Linked DNA regions of Daphnia pulex. The protein of the gene in region 2 interacts with the protein of the main gene of each other region in a biochemical or structural test. Links are inferred from orthologs where the notes say so. Each region holds a gene or a part of one and is shown on either strand. Other genes may lie near its edges. The genes, in order: tyrosine-protein kinase ABL1-like and tyrosine-protein phosphatase Lar-like.

Region 1 (6,670 bases), about 2.8 Mb from region 2:
GAAACCGTGAGAATTGACATAGTTCGTTCGGTTGACACACAACTCCAAAACTCCCCTTCAACTCCCAAGAGTGATAGATGATGACGAAGAAGAAGAAGAAGAAGGAAGAATCATGGGGAGGTTCAATTACTCAGAGTGTTTGGAGACCGGAGTCACGGGTATGGCGCCCGTCTTCCTCCTTCCAGATGCCTCTTTCCGTTCCAACGAAAGAAAAAGAAACAAATTCCCAACTTAATCTGATTAGTGTACAAGAGACTCGGTTCTCCCATCTCTCTCGCACCAATGAACGGGCCAAGAATCGCTCTTTTAAGTCTTTGTGTGTCTGTGTTGTGTTGTCGGAATGGCATTATTGCAGCTTTCGGATACGACGAGGCTCTTTAACAAACCGTCTGGACGTTGTCCTAAAAAACAAAACAAAAAAAAATCTGGCATTTCGGTCTGCGATGCTCTTTTCTTGGCTTCCTCATCATTTTTCCCAGCTGCCATGTGAGATTGCCTTGGACGCCAGAACCGTGTCCATTGGCAGATGCAATCTCGTCAGTTTCTTATTCATTCATTCATGTTTTGAAAGTTTTATTTCCTTTGACTTGTTGTTGTCTGTCAGAAAAATTACATTTCTCTTCAATTGCTGAGAAAATGGGATTTTTCCGTGCACTTACTACACAACCACAACAACAACGACGACGATTTTGATAAATCGCATGCAGGGTGCCCTGGACCACTACGCGTTGCTCGTATGTGTGTCTCTCTCTCGACCAGCAGCGACCGGAACGCTGAAAAATGACGGCCAGATGTCGTGCTGCGTTTCAGGAGTCGACTGTGGGAGGGACCTGAAAGGGGCCACCGCAAAAAAGAAAAGAATTAAAGAGAAAAGAGGAAAAAGAAATAACCGGTGGTGCCTCGTCCAACCGACGATTCGTTCTAATCACGAGCCGCAAAAGGAGATGAGGGGAAATTCAGTCTCTCCAGTTACTCGTCACTGGACGGACATTATCCAGTCCTTTCTCGCCCTCTCCTTTTTCGCTCTATGCGTGAGGTGTAGTGAACTGTAGTGTGCAGCCTAGAAGAAGAAGTAGTTATCTGGTTTCGGTCAAAGTTCCTTTTTCGTGAAAACCAACCCAAAAAATTGCCAAAAAAGAGAAGAAGAAGAAGAAGAGTCAAAGAAGACGCTGCTGCTGATTTGGTCGGTTTGCGCCATGTCGAATCCCGCCCTCTTGCCGCCCTCGGTCATGCGGCTCCTTCAGATCCTTTATCCTCCCGGTGCCAAGCCTCGACTTGGTAAGAACCTCACAAGTTACAAGCAAAAGTAAAAAAAAAAAAAAAAGTCAAGAGTCAGCCATTATTGATCGGCTGCTGTACCTTATTATTGATGTTCCGCCTGACTTATTCCTTTCGATCCTGTTTGTACTGACCAAATGCTGCGGGTCGAATTTCTGGAAACGGATCCTATCCGCCACGGAAGATTTGACTTATTTACTCTCAATGAACCCGTCTACTTTGGTGTAATCATGTCCGCTACTTTTTGTTGTTGGTTTTTTGAAACGAGAGAAACGATCTAGTCGTGTCGGGGAGTGCCAATTTAATCGTGAAAAATGCGGAGACTACAACAACAGTTTGCGTAGTTGGCAACTTTAGGGAAACTTGTAATGGTAGCCGTTGTGGAACAAACAGATACTTACCGAACAGCTGTTGTGCCGTGACGTCCGACCGGTTAACTGAGGTCAAAACGTGAAGATTTTTCAATGTCTTATTTTGAAAACTAGCAATTTCTAATGCAAATCCTTCGTTAACGACGGTATCTGGGGGGATTATATGGAAGAAAAGAAAAAAAGAAAAGAACACGACACACAACAGATGAGGCCAGCAGCTTGTTGGAACAGGGGCGAATTAAAAACCGGCCCTGTCTTGTTTATTACCGTTACATACACTGTGGCATTGCGTGCCATTGGCCTAGCGGTTTGAATAGTTTCCATATGAGGGTCAGACATCTTGCATGTTTCGTTCTGATTTCTCCCTTTGTTTTTGTTTCTCGTGTTTTCATTTATTTTATCTTTTTATTGTATTTTATTCTTTTTTTTTGTTTTGTTTCCTTCTCGATTGTGTGTCACACAGAGGCATTGTTGCAGAACCGGCCACTGCCAACGCTGCCCGACTTGGCGACGGGCACGTTGGACATGGACGGTGGCGGATCGTCGGGACTAGGAGGCGGCCACTGCGGTACCACCTTTAGCCTTGAATCGGCGCACCGATGGACGTCGAGAGATAATCTGCTCCATACCGAACCCGACGATGAAGACCCGCAACTCTTTGTCGCTCTTTATGACTTTCAAGCTTCCGGCGATAACCAGCTCAGCTTGAAAAAAGGTGCCGCTTTAAAAATTTTTTCATATCAACCAGACATTCAAACGTTATTTTTTTCTTTTCCCCTTATTTTTTAAATCTCTTTTTTATTATTATTATGATCATTCTGTAGGCGAACAAGTGAAAATTCTGAGCTATAATAAAAGTGGAGAATGGTGCGAAGCTCATTCGGGTTCGGGCAGGGTCGGCTGGGTCCCGTCCAACTATGTGACTGCTGTCAATTCCCTAGAGAAACACTCTTGGTATCACGGACCAATCTCCCGCAATGCAGCTGAATACTTGCTCAGTTCGGGCATCAATGGCAGCTTTTTGGTTCGGGAATCGGAAAGCAGTCCCGGACAACGATCCATCTCACTCCGTTATGAGGGTCGGGTGTATCACTATCGGATCAGCGAAGACTCGGAAGGGCGGGTAATAAATAAATCCAATCCTATTGAATTGCAAACCTCCCCCTCTAAACTTGTTTGAATGTTTACTTTACTACTTTTTTTTTATTTTTTTAAAAAGGTTTACGTCACTTCTGAGAGTCGATTCCGGACCCTGGCCGAGCTCGTCCATCACCATTCGGCCAATGCCGACGGCCTCATCACGCAATTGTTGTATCCGGCCCCCAAACGTCACAAACCTCAAGTGTTTGCTCTTAGTCCCGAGCCGGATGAGTGGGAAATTGAGCGTACGGACATCGCCATGAAGCAGAAGCTTGGAGGAGGTATTAATTCATTTCGGCCTAGGTGGTGTCCGCTTTCTCTTACTGCTCGCTGGGTGTTTGCGGTTGTCATCGTGTCGATTACGACGTGAACTAATTGAAGCGCGGGAGATGATGATGATGATGAACCGCGGCTTTCCCTTCCTGGACGATTTCGAAACCCCCCTAAACTTTTGGTCCTTTTCTATTTAATTGTAGGCCAGTACGGCGACGTGTACGAGGCAATGTGGAAGAGATACAACATGACTGTGGCCGTCAAGACGCTCAAGGAGGACACAATGGCGCTTAAAGACTTTCTAGAAGAGGCGGCCATAATGAAGGAAATGAAGCATCCGAATCTGGTTCAGTTGCTAGGCGTGTGCACGCGCGAGCCTCCATTCTACATTGTCACCGAATTCATGTCGCGAGGCAACTTGCTCGACTATTTACGAAGGGCCAACCGTGAAGAGATCGACGCCATTGTTCTCCTTTACATGGCAACCCAAGTAGCGGCCGCCATGTCCTACCTGGAGAGCAGGAATTTCATTCACAGGTGAGAATTAGCTAGGGTCCCGGGGAAATTTGATAGACTGGATCGCGCGGGGGTCTCTTAACTGCTGCCGCGATGTGTTTCATTAACCCGAAAACGTTTTGCTTATCATCTGAAGGGATCTTGCCGCCCGTAATTGCCTTGTCGGCGAGAACCACTTAGTCAAAGTGGCCGATTTCGGATTGGCGCGTTTAATGCGTGACGACACCTACACGGCTCACGCCGGCGCTAAATTTCCCATCAAATGGACCGCACCCGAAGGCTTGGCGTACAATAAATTCTCCACCAAGGTGACACTTTCCTCCTCTTTCCTGCGGCTCCCGTTTTTCCTCGTCATTAATCGTTTGTGTGAAAATGTTTCTTTTTTCTTCTTTCTTTCTCTAGTCGGACGTCTGGGCTTTTGGGATCCTTTTGTGGGAAATTGCCACCTACGGGATGTCCCCTTACCCCGGTATCGATTTAACTGATGTCTACCATACCCTGGAAACAGGTTACCGGTGAGTTATTGTGTCTACTTTTTTTTCTTACGTTTTCATTTCAACAGCTGAACTCGATTTTTCTTTTATCTCTCTCTCTCTCCCTGACGATGGGGTTTCCTATACTAAAGGATGGAATGCCCTCCAGGATGCCCGCCCCGGGTCTACGATCTCATGCAGCAATGTTGGCATTGGAGTGCCAATGACCGGCCGACTTTCCAAGAGATCCACCACGGCCTGGAAAATATGTTTCAAGAGTCGAGCATTAACGAAGGTTCGCCATTCTACTTACCAGCTTATCAAATCGATTGGAATAATTTTCTGACTGGTGGGTTGTTCCCAATTAAATTGGTTCGACTAATTAGAAGTCGAGCGGCAGTTGCAGGGTAGCAGCAGCAGCGTCGGCGTCAGTTCCTCGAGTCCACGCCTGGCCTCCAAAAAGGCCGCCAATCAGGGACAAGCTCAAAATCAGAATCATAATCGACCATCAGGTGCTGGTAGTGGTGCCGTGATGACTAGTCGTTCCAATACCGCCCCGGTGCAAATGAGACGGGCCACCAACACGAAGGGAAAGCCCGTCCCGGCCCCTCCTAAACGAACCAGGTACAACCGTCTCTATTTTTCTTTTGGCTCGATTTAATGTGTGAAGAATGTAAACGAGAACCGTCACCAGACTGCAATGAATTATAAATGAGATTGAAGAAATAATTTACAAAAGCAAAAAAAAGATTTTCTTGTGGCTTGGCGCGACGCACGCATTCTCATTTCGATTCCACTTTGCTCTCTGCGTTGTTTGCCTGGCTAAAAAAAGAGTTTTCACGCTGCTGTTGCGTTTGTTATTTTTTAATTTTCTTTTTTTGGGTTTTAATTTTTTTGATCCAACCATTTGTTCACGCCCTTGTTTGACTCATACGTGTGTGTTTTATTTGGATTTTTATTCATAATATTTGTGTTCTTTTTTTCCTTACCCGCTCGTCACTTGCCTTGACCGTTCATAGAGGAGGCAAGCCCAGTAAGGTGTCGGACAAATTAGGGCACCTGGGTACCGCACCTCCCAGGTAACTATTAACCAAATTAATCTTTGACACGCAAACACGCCGTACAAACAAACACCACCAACACCACTACCACACAACACATAATTATGATGTTACTCTTTCATCTTTTTCTCAGAGTTGTTTTGGTCAATTTTTCTACTAACGTGTTGCTAGAACGTGTAGCCATTTAATAATCGGCCGCTTCTCGCCATGGTTTTCTTCCTGTTTTCTAACCTTTGCACACACACATTCAGAATGTACAGTGCAAGCATGACACACCCTTTTTGATACATGATGAACAGAGTCGTCTGCAACTTGCCTTTTTATTCTTTCGTTTTAATTGGTTTTATCCCTTCTCCCTTTTAGTAGCTCATTCCGTGACAGCTCTTATACGGATCAAGACTTTGGCGGACCTGGCGACGACGGAAGCGATTCCAACGGCATCGAACATGTCTTCGAAGGTAATAGACTTTTTCCCGGGGCTATAAATAAGTCGTCCGTTGTTTACCTTTGGGTTGTGGATCGATAGGCATCAATAGGGATCTGCAAAGTTTGAACCACGGCGACGAGTCGGACGGCGATGGCAGCGAGGGCGAGGCCGTTCTCACGGCGCAGTCTGGTGGCAAATTTCTGCGGCAAATGTCTGAGCAGCCGCGCGGGACCAGCAGCTCCAACCGAAAGACGCGGACGTACCCACCCAAAGAGACGAGTCCCGTCTCCGACTTGAAACCCAAACCGCCGCAAAGGAGCAAGGTCCAAGTGGCCACACTCGAAGTCCATAACGTCAAGAAAGCCATCAACAGGTCGGTTATTATTTAATTACACGTTTTCTAATGATTATTAGCGGTTATCTGATGTGTTTTTTCTTCTACGAAGGTATGGCACTCTGCCGAAAGGAGCGAGGATAGGCGCTTATTTGGAATCTCTTCGTCAGAGTGGTATGACGGGCGAGCCACCGGAAGGTGTCGACCTGGAACAGGGAAACAAGGAGGAAGATTCGCCTAAATCTGGTCACGTTTCTCTGTTGCGCCAAGCGGTCAACCACAACCGAACGGAAGATCCTCGGCTCCGACCGGGGGTCAAGAATGCTGGCGGCTCCTCTTCCAATCCGACCAAAACTCCTCCTACGGTTAGGAGTCACTCAGTGTCTGGTGAGGGACCTCGAACGCCTAGCCCTAAACTCCGCAACAGCGGCCTTCGATCCAGCAGCAACCCCCAGACGCGGAATCCGCGGGAAAATTCTCCGGCTCCCAACTTGGCCGACTTGGAGTTCCCTCCACCTCCTCCACCGTTGGAAGACGACGCGGCTTCCGCCTTGGATGATAATTCGTCTGCAGCTTCTCACGACTCGATCGACGGTCCCAAGCCACGGGACCACACCCCGCCCACTCGTCCTATTCCTTCGCCCCGGGGTCAGATTAAAACGTCGTCTGTCCAAATGCGCGCCAGTTCAGTCGACCGGGTGGGCGGTGCCCGGCAGTCACTGGAAGATCAATTCTTTCTCGGCGAGGAAGTCAGCATCGAGGAGAATTCGCTCAAAAGGAATATTGATTCCAACCGA
Region 2 (6,014 bases):
TTCTTCCCTCCCTGCTACCCATTTTATAAAAATAACATCATTACATCGTTACCTCCATTTGACGGATGCCTTTTTCCGAGCCTTTTTCCCTCTCCGATATAAATAACTAAGTGCAGAGATGACAAAATGATTCGTAAAACGTTTTTTGTAATTTTTAATATAGTCACGCTTGTTAATTTCTTGAGCAGGCAAATTGCTCTATGTGTTTTTATTTCAAATTGACGGAAGGTATACTTAAAATCTAACTATTCCCCCATTTTTTAATCCCTTTTTCACCTTTTCTTTCTCTCATTATTTTCCTTAAAAGGTGAAAAAGGGATTTAAAAATGGGGGAGTAGTTTGATTCTCAGTATACCTTCCGTCAACTTGAAATAAAAACACATAGAGCAATTTGCCTGCTCAAGAAATTAACAAGCGTGACTGTATATAAGTGATTCCTTCTTCAAATTTCACATCGTAAGTTCGATTGACTGGAATTATTAGAATCGACGATAACACCTTTGAAATACAGTCCCCCTTGGTCCCCCACTACCAGGCCACAAGAAGCCAGCATAAGCCGTAAACAGACTCGCCTATATCACAATAAATCTTGTTTGGAGCCTAATTTGAACTATATTTATAGTAGTGATAAAAACACCTGTAATTGATGACTTAAAAACGATTACTTTTAGCGTATTGAAAGTGATTGTTTTGCACGAATGTTCCTTAATTCATGACGAACATGAACGAACACGATCGTCATATCGAATGTCACATCATCCCCCCCCCTCTATGTATGTGTTTTCATCGTTTCTTTTCGTCTCTTGTCACTATAGGACACGGTTCTGCTATGCTGCGAGTGCGACACGACGTTCCACCGCTCGTGCCTGGCTTCACCACCGGCGTCTATGCCCGACGGATGTTACTGGGCTTGCGACGACTGCCGAGCCAACGAGTCGGTGGAGAAGACTCCGGTCAAGGACAGCTCGTCGGAAGAAGGCAAAGTTGAGAACAACAGCAGCAAGATCTCGTCGTCATCGTCGTTTCAGCCCTTGGCGCCAATTAGTCTCGGTCCGTGGGTGTTTGGCACGCGCCAACTGGAACTCAAGGGCCCTCCGTTCGAGTGGAATTGCGTCCCCAATCCCGACCCGAGTATTCCCGACGCTTCGCTCTGGACTTCGGAAGACGTTCAAAGTTACTTCAGCCGGCTGGGATTCGAAGAGCAGGCCGCTCTGTTGCGCCACAATGTAATTGACACGAGAAAACGACAAATGGTTCCCAGCAGCTGTGTGTTTCTTATTTTCTCACCTTTTTGTTTTTCCTTTTTTTTCCTTTTTTTCCAATTGGCAGGAAATCGACGGTCCGTCCCTGTTGCTGATGAAGAGAAACGACGTCGTCGGCAACATGGGATTGAAGCTGGGCCCGGCCGTCAAGATCTACAACCACATTCGCCGTCTGCAGACACGTCGCGACGATCTGATTTACGCTTAAGCCAATTGTAGAAGAAAAACCGTCGCTAAGTTTGCAACATTTCCCTTCCACCTTTCTCCTCTCCTCACCAACATTTTTGAAACTTGGAACAAGAAAGCCGGAAGAAGAAGAAGACAAAAATCCCCCAAAATGCAATGAAATCTCGACGCCGATCAAGTTCAAAACAAGCAGACGTGGAATTGCATAATCATCTTTTCGTTATTCCTTTCTTGTTGTAATAATCGTCACACATTTACAATAAAGGGAAAAACGAAATAAGCTGCCCACAATAGTTCAGTTTCAGTTCGAATTCCAGCGAAGCGGCTACATACACGCATGATGAGAAACACTTACACACAGACATACGCACATCACACTCGCGCGCGCGCGGCAATTGCACACACACACACACACACAAACCAACATTTTCTCGAAAAAATCAGAAATATTCGTCTGCGCCCAAAAGAAAACCAGAAAACCAACGACACGAAAACGCGCAACTCAAAATGAAACGGGGGAAGGAACACGGAAATAATAATGAAACGGTTGGGAGGATTGGCCACGACGATGAAGAGAATAATAATACAATCATTAATGAGTGGGGGATCGAACGCGCTGACAGTATGAGGCTGAGAGACATGAGCCAACGGAAATCGGTTGTAATCGTTCAGAAACACAAATGAAACTCGACGGTTTTTAAAAAAAAAAAGAAAACTTAAGTACAAAGTTGAAATCGCCCCGAGGAAGGCCTTTCCGGTTTCCGTGTTTTGTTTTCTTAAAAAAAAAAACAATTATCGCACAAAACAACGAAATAAATAAATTACAAAGTTAAAAATAAAATCCCAAAATTACAGCGTGCCATTTTTTTTGTTTTAGTTATTTGTCTTCTCGTGACGGGAATGATATGGCAGAATGCAGAATGTTGGTGTGGTGTGAGCTGCCTTCGATAATAACTGACGTGGGGCTCCGTAAAAAAGCGCACAAATTCGGTACGGTATGGTAATAAAAAGCGGAACACTGAAAATAATCGGTATTTGCGGGAATTTTTGTCTTTTTTCCTTTTTTAAAAACAAACAAGAAAAAAAAATCTCGTCTCGTCTCCACACCCGGATCTGTACATTATTGGCGCCATTACACAATTTTAATAATCTTTTCTTGGTTTTTTTTTTTGCGTTGCGAGTTGGTTTCTGAATTTCAAAAAAGTTTTATTTTCTTTCCTTAATTTCAAGTCACCCGGCCCCCCAAAAAATTGACGCGCATTTTGACTTTTTGTGCCTTTTGTTTTCGCTTCTTTTTTCTTTTTTTTTTTTTTAGTTTCCAGTTTTTAAATTAAAAATTTCGGGCCGCAACTTTTCTTCTCTTCTTTTTTTTTGTTTTTCTTTTGACTTTCTTTGTGATGGCGACGGATGGAACCACACGGCACACGGTAATGGATTTCAACTAGAACCCAAACATCAGACGCAAAGTGACATAGAAAAAAGGAGGTCGCGGAGGAGGAATACGAGTGGGGGTAGGAGTAGTGGGGGCATTGCAAGGATTGTTCGAGTGTCTTATTTTGTGACAAAGAGACGAGACGGACTCCATCCATCCATCCATCCGTCTCTCATAAACGTTTGTCTTATTCGTCCTATCATCCTATCATCGAAGGGCACAGTGCGAGGAGAGTGGCGGTGTGGTGAAGGCGTGCCACGGAGGGACAGCAAGTCGGGATTCGGCCTGCGACCAAGGCGGTGACGGTGTCGACGAGCCACCGGCCGCCTCGCACTGTGTCCCCTGACGTCAGTCGCATCCGGCGTAGTGGTCGAACGAGCCCAGATATTCCAGCGCCGACCGGTAGCAGAACTGGTACTGATCCTGATTGTATCAAATAGCAAAAGGAGTTTAAAACTTAACCAAATCAAAGAGATTTAAAATAAAACCAATGGACGGTGTGTTTTTACCTCCGTCTGGACCATGGCCGGCCTCTGGGTGCGCAAGATGCGGACCGTCTGGAAGACGTCGACGACGCCTTCGTACTGCATCCGCTCCAAGTCGATGCTGAGCGTGATGAAGACGCCGGTGCGGCCGACGCCGGCGCTGCAGTGGACCGTGATGGGTCCCTCCTGGCCAAACTGCTCCTTGGTCTTGTGGACCTGGCCCAGGAATTCGATGAAGCCCTCGCCCGACTTGGGCACGCCCTCCTCCGGCCAGTCGGTGAACTGGAACTGGCGCACCGTCCTCGACTGTCCGTCCCTGGCGTCCGTCATCTTGAACTCGCGCAGGATGTACTGCGGCATGTTGTACTCGGTGACGGGCTCCACCACGACGTACTGGTAGCGGATGGATCGGTCCGACGGCCAGTACTGGTGGCACTTCTCCTGGCCCATCTCCTGCAGTTTGGTCAGCATGACGACGATGGTCGAGTTGTGCTCCCACAACATGCGCCAAAAGTCCTCGGTCGTCTCGGCCAGCGGCCCCTGGGTGGCCACGTAGGCGTTGCGGTAGCGGTAGCCGTCGACGAAGCTGGCGTTGATGTAGTCGCTGCCCTCCACTCCGCGCATCGGCTGCAGGATCACCCGCGTCGACTCGTAGGGCAACACGTTGACCAGCCGGTTCTTGGGCTTGTTGACGGGCAGGCTGGCGCTGACAAAGCGGCCCGGATGCGTCCGGATGCCGGCCAGCTTCTTGAACTCCTGCTGCATGCCCGTCATGCTGGACAGGGTGCCAGAGTCGCCGCGCACGCACGGCTGCATCAGACTCTGCAGGTGGGCGTGGAGCGAGCGGGCCGGGATCTCCGTGTCGCCGCACGTGACCGCCTCCAGCAGGGCGTCGTGGATGAAGATGTACTGGTCCTCCGTCTGGACCATGTAGTTGCGCTGGGCACGGAGGACCGTCACGTGGCCGTAGACGTCGATCGTGTTCTCGTAGCGCAGACGCTCCAGCATCGAGTCGATGACGATGAAGGCGCCCGTCCGGCCGACGCCGGCGCTGCAGTGGACGATCATGGGGCCGGCCTCGGCCGAATTAAGGGCCCTGACTCGCTTGAGGAACTGGAGGAAAGGGGCCGGGTGGTCGGGCACGCCGTGATCCGGCCAGGCCGTGAACTGGAGCTGCTTGATCTCGCGGTGTTCGCTGGTGCCCAGCCGGTGGAGCTGGAAGGTGCGGACGCAGTAGGTGGCCAGCTCCTGGACGTCCGTGATCATGACGCTGACGACGCCGTATGTGTCCGAGCCGCGGCTGGGCCAGTACTGGTCGCACTTGATGCGGGCCCGCTCCTCCAGCCGCGTCATCATGACGATGGTCGACGTCTTCTGCTCCCAGCACATGCGCCAAAAGTCGGCGAACGACTCGGGCAGCGGCCCCTGGGTCGCGATGTACGCGTCCCTCTTGCGGTAGCCGTCGCAAAAGTTGCCGTTGATGTAGTCGCTGCCGGGCACGCCCGGCACCTGCTCCAAAATGATGCGCGAGTGGTCGTAGGCGATGACGTTGGCGTAGCGGTTCTTGGGCTTGTTGATCTCGGCGTTCGAGTGCTCCCACGTGAACTGCTGGCCCGTCTCGATCGACTCGTACTCCTGCGAGAACTTGAGATTGTCGTTCATCTTCAGCGCGTCGATGTGCAGCGAAATGTCGTGGATGATGATGGGCGGGTGGGAGGCCATGCCCGGCGTCTGGAAGTTGAGCCGACGCAGTTCCACCGGGTCGTTGACGGCCGTTGAGGCTCCGGCGGCTCCGGCCCCGCCGGCCGACAGGGAGGCGTCGGCCAGACCGACGCCGCCCATCAGCGGCTTGGTGACGGACGAGTGGTCAGACGATTTGGGAGAGCGGCGCTTCTTGCGCGAGCAGACGACGGCCACGATGACCAGCAGGATGACGAAGACGACGGCCGAAGTGGCCAGGGCGATCCACAGGAGGCCGGCTTCCTCCGTCTCGGACGGGACGGGCACGTACGACGAGTCCACGTTGCCCACGTTGGGGTTGGGCCGCTGCGGCAGTTCGCCGGCGGGCGCTTCGCGCATGTCCAGCGCCAGGTAGTCGGAGAACGGACTCGACGTGTAGAGGTGCTTGTGGGGCGTGTCGACGACGGCCCGGAGGAAGACCCGGTAGCGCATCATCTTGTCCAGTTTGCGGTTGAGCATGCCCTCAAACTCCTCGCCGTTGCCCAGCAGGAAAGTGTAGGGCACGTTGCGGCGCAGGAACTTGGCCGCCACGTAGGGCTGCACCCGCTCCTCCGACGGTTTCATCGTGCCGGCCTTGAGATTGCCGTGACCCTGCTGTCCCCCACCGACGCCTCCACCACCGCCACCACCTCCACCTCCGGCGTGACTGTTGGCCTGGATCAAATCGCTGTTCATAAACTGGTCCGGCTGCTTGTGCTCGCTGCGCTTGTCTTCCGGCACGACGACCAGCAGGTAGTGGCTGATGGGTCCGTACTCCTCCGAGGCCTGCGGCAGGATGACCGTGATCTCCTCGCCGTTGAGGACGCCGTAAAAGTCCGGCTTGACCATGGGCAGCGGGGCCGCCATCTGAGTGGTGACGGTGATGCGGGCCGGCGGCCGGTAGGAGCGGTCGGGCGGCACGGCGCTGAC

Evidence for each region.
Region 1: of the proteins of tyrosine-protein phosphatase Lar-like (region 2) and tyrosine-protein kinase ABL1-like, one has a biochemical effect on the other in vitro, tested with the Drosophila melanogaster proteins (2 studies listed by BioGRID, with this or other methods). The link is inferred for Daphnia pulex from reciprocal best matches to the Drosophila melanogaster genes Lar and Abl.

What each region holds. Positions count from the first base shown.
Region 1 is NC_060021.1:8,608,382-8,615,051, reverse strand, and holds part of tyrosine-protein kinase ABL1-like, read left to right. Parts: exon of another isoform or gene 1-1,196; coding exon of another isoform or gene 1,197-1,278; intron 1,279-2,112; coding exon 2,113-2,364; intron 2,365-2,473; coding exon 2,474-2,772; intron 2,773-2,868; coding exon 2,869-3,070; intron 3,071-3,265; coding exon 3,266-3,599; intron 3,600-3,714; coding exon 3,715-3,886; intron 3,887-3,980; coding exon 3,981-4,093; intron 4,094-4,203; coding exon 4,204-4,346; intron 4,347-4,437; coding exon 4,438-4,675; intron 4,676-5,070; coding exon 5,071-5,130; intron 5,131-5,475; coding exon 5,476-5,570; intron 5,571-5,638; coding exon 5,639-5,912; intron 5,913-5,985; coding exon 5,986-6,670. UniProt on the Drosophila melanogaster protein: Arm and Abl proteins function cooperatively at adherens junctions in both the CNS and epidermis; critical for embryonic epithelial morphogenesis regulating cell shape changes and cell migration.
Region 2 is NC_060021.1:5,822,409-5,828,422, reverse strand, and holds the end of tyrosine-protein phosphatase Lar-like, read right to left. Parts: coding exon 3,390-6,014; intron 3,304-3,389; coding exon 3,229-3,303; 3' UTR 1,650-3,228; downstream 1-1,649. Other genes in the region: lethal(3)malignant brain tumor-like protein 3, read left to right, coding at 816-1,226, 1,330-1,470. UniProt on the Drosophila melanogaster protein: Possible cell adhesion receptor. It possesses an intrinsic protein tyrosine phosphatase activity (PTPase). It controls motor axon guidance. In the developing eye, has a role in normal axonal targeting of the R7 photoreceptor, where it negatively regulates bdl.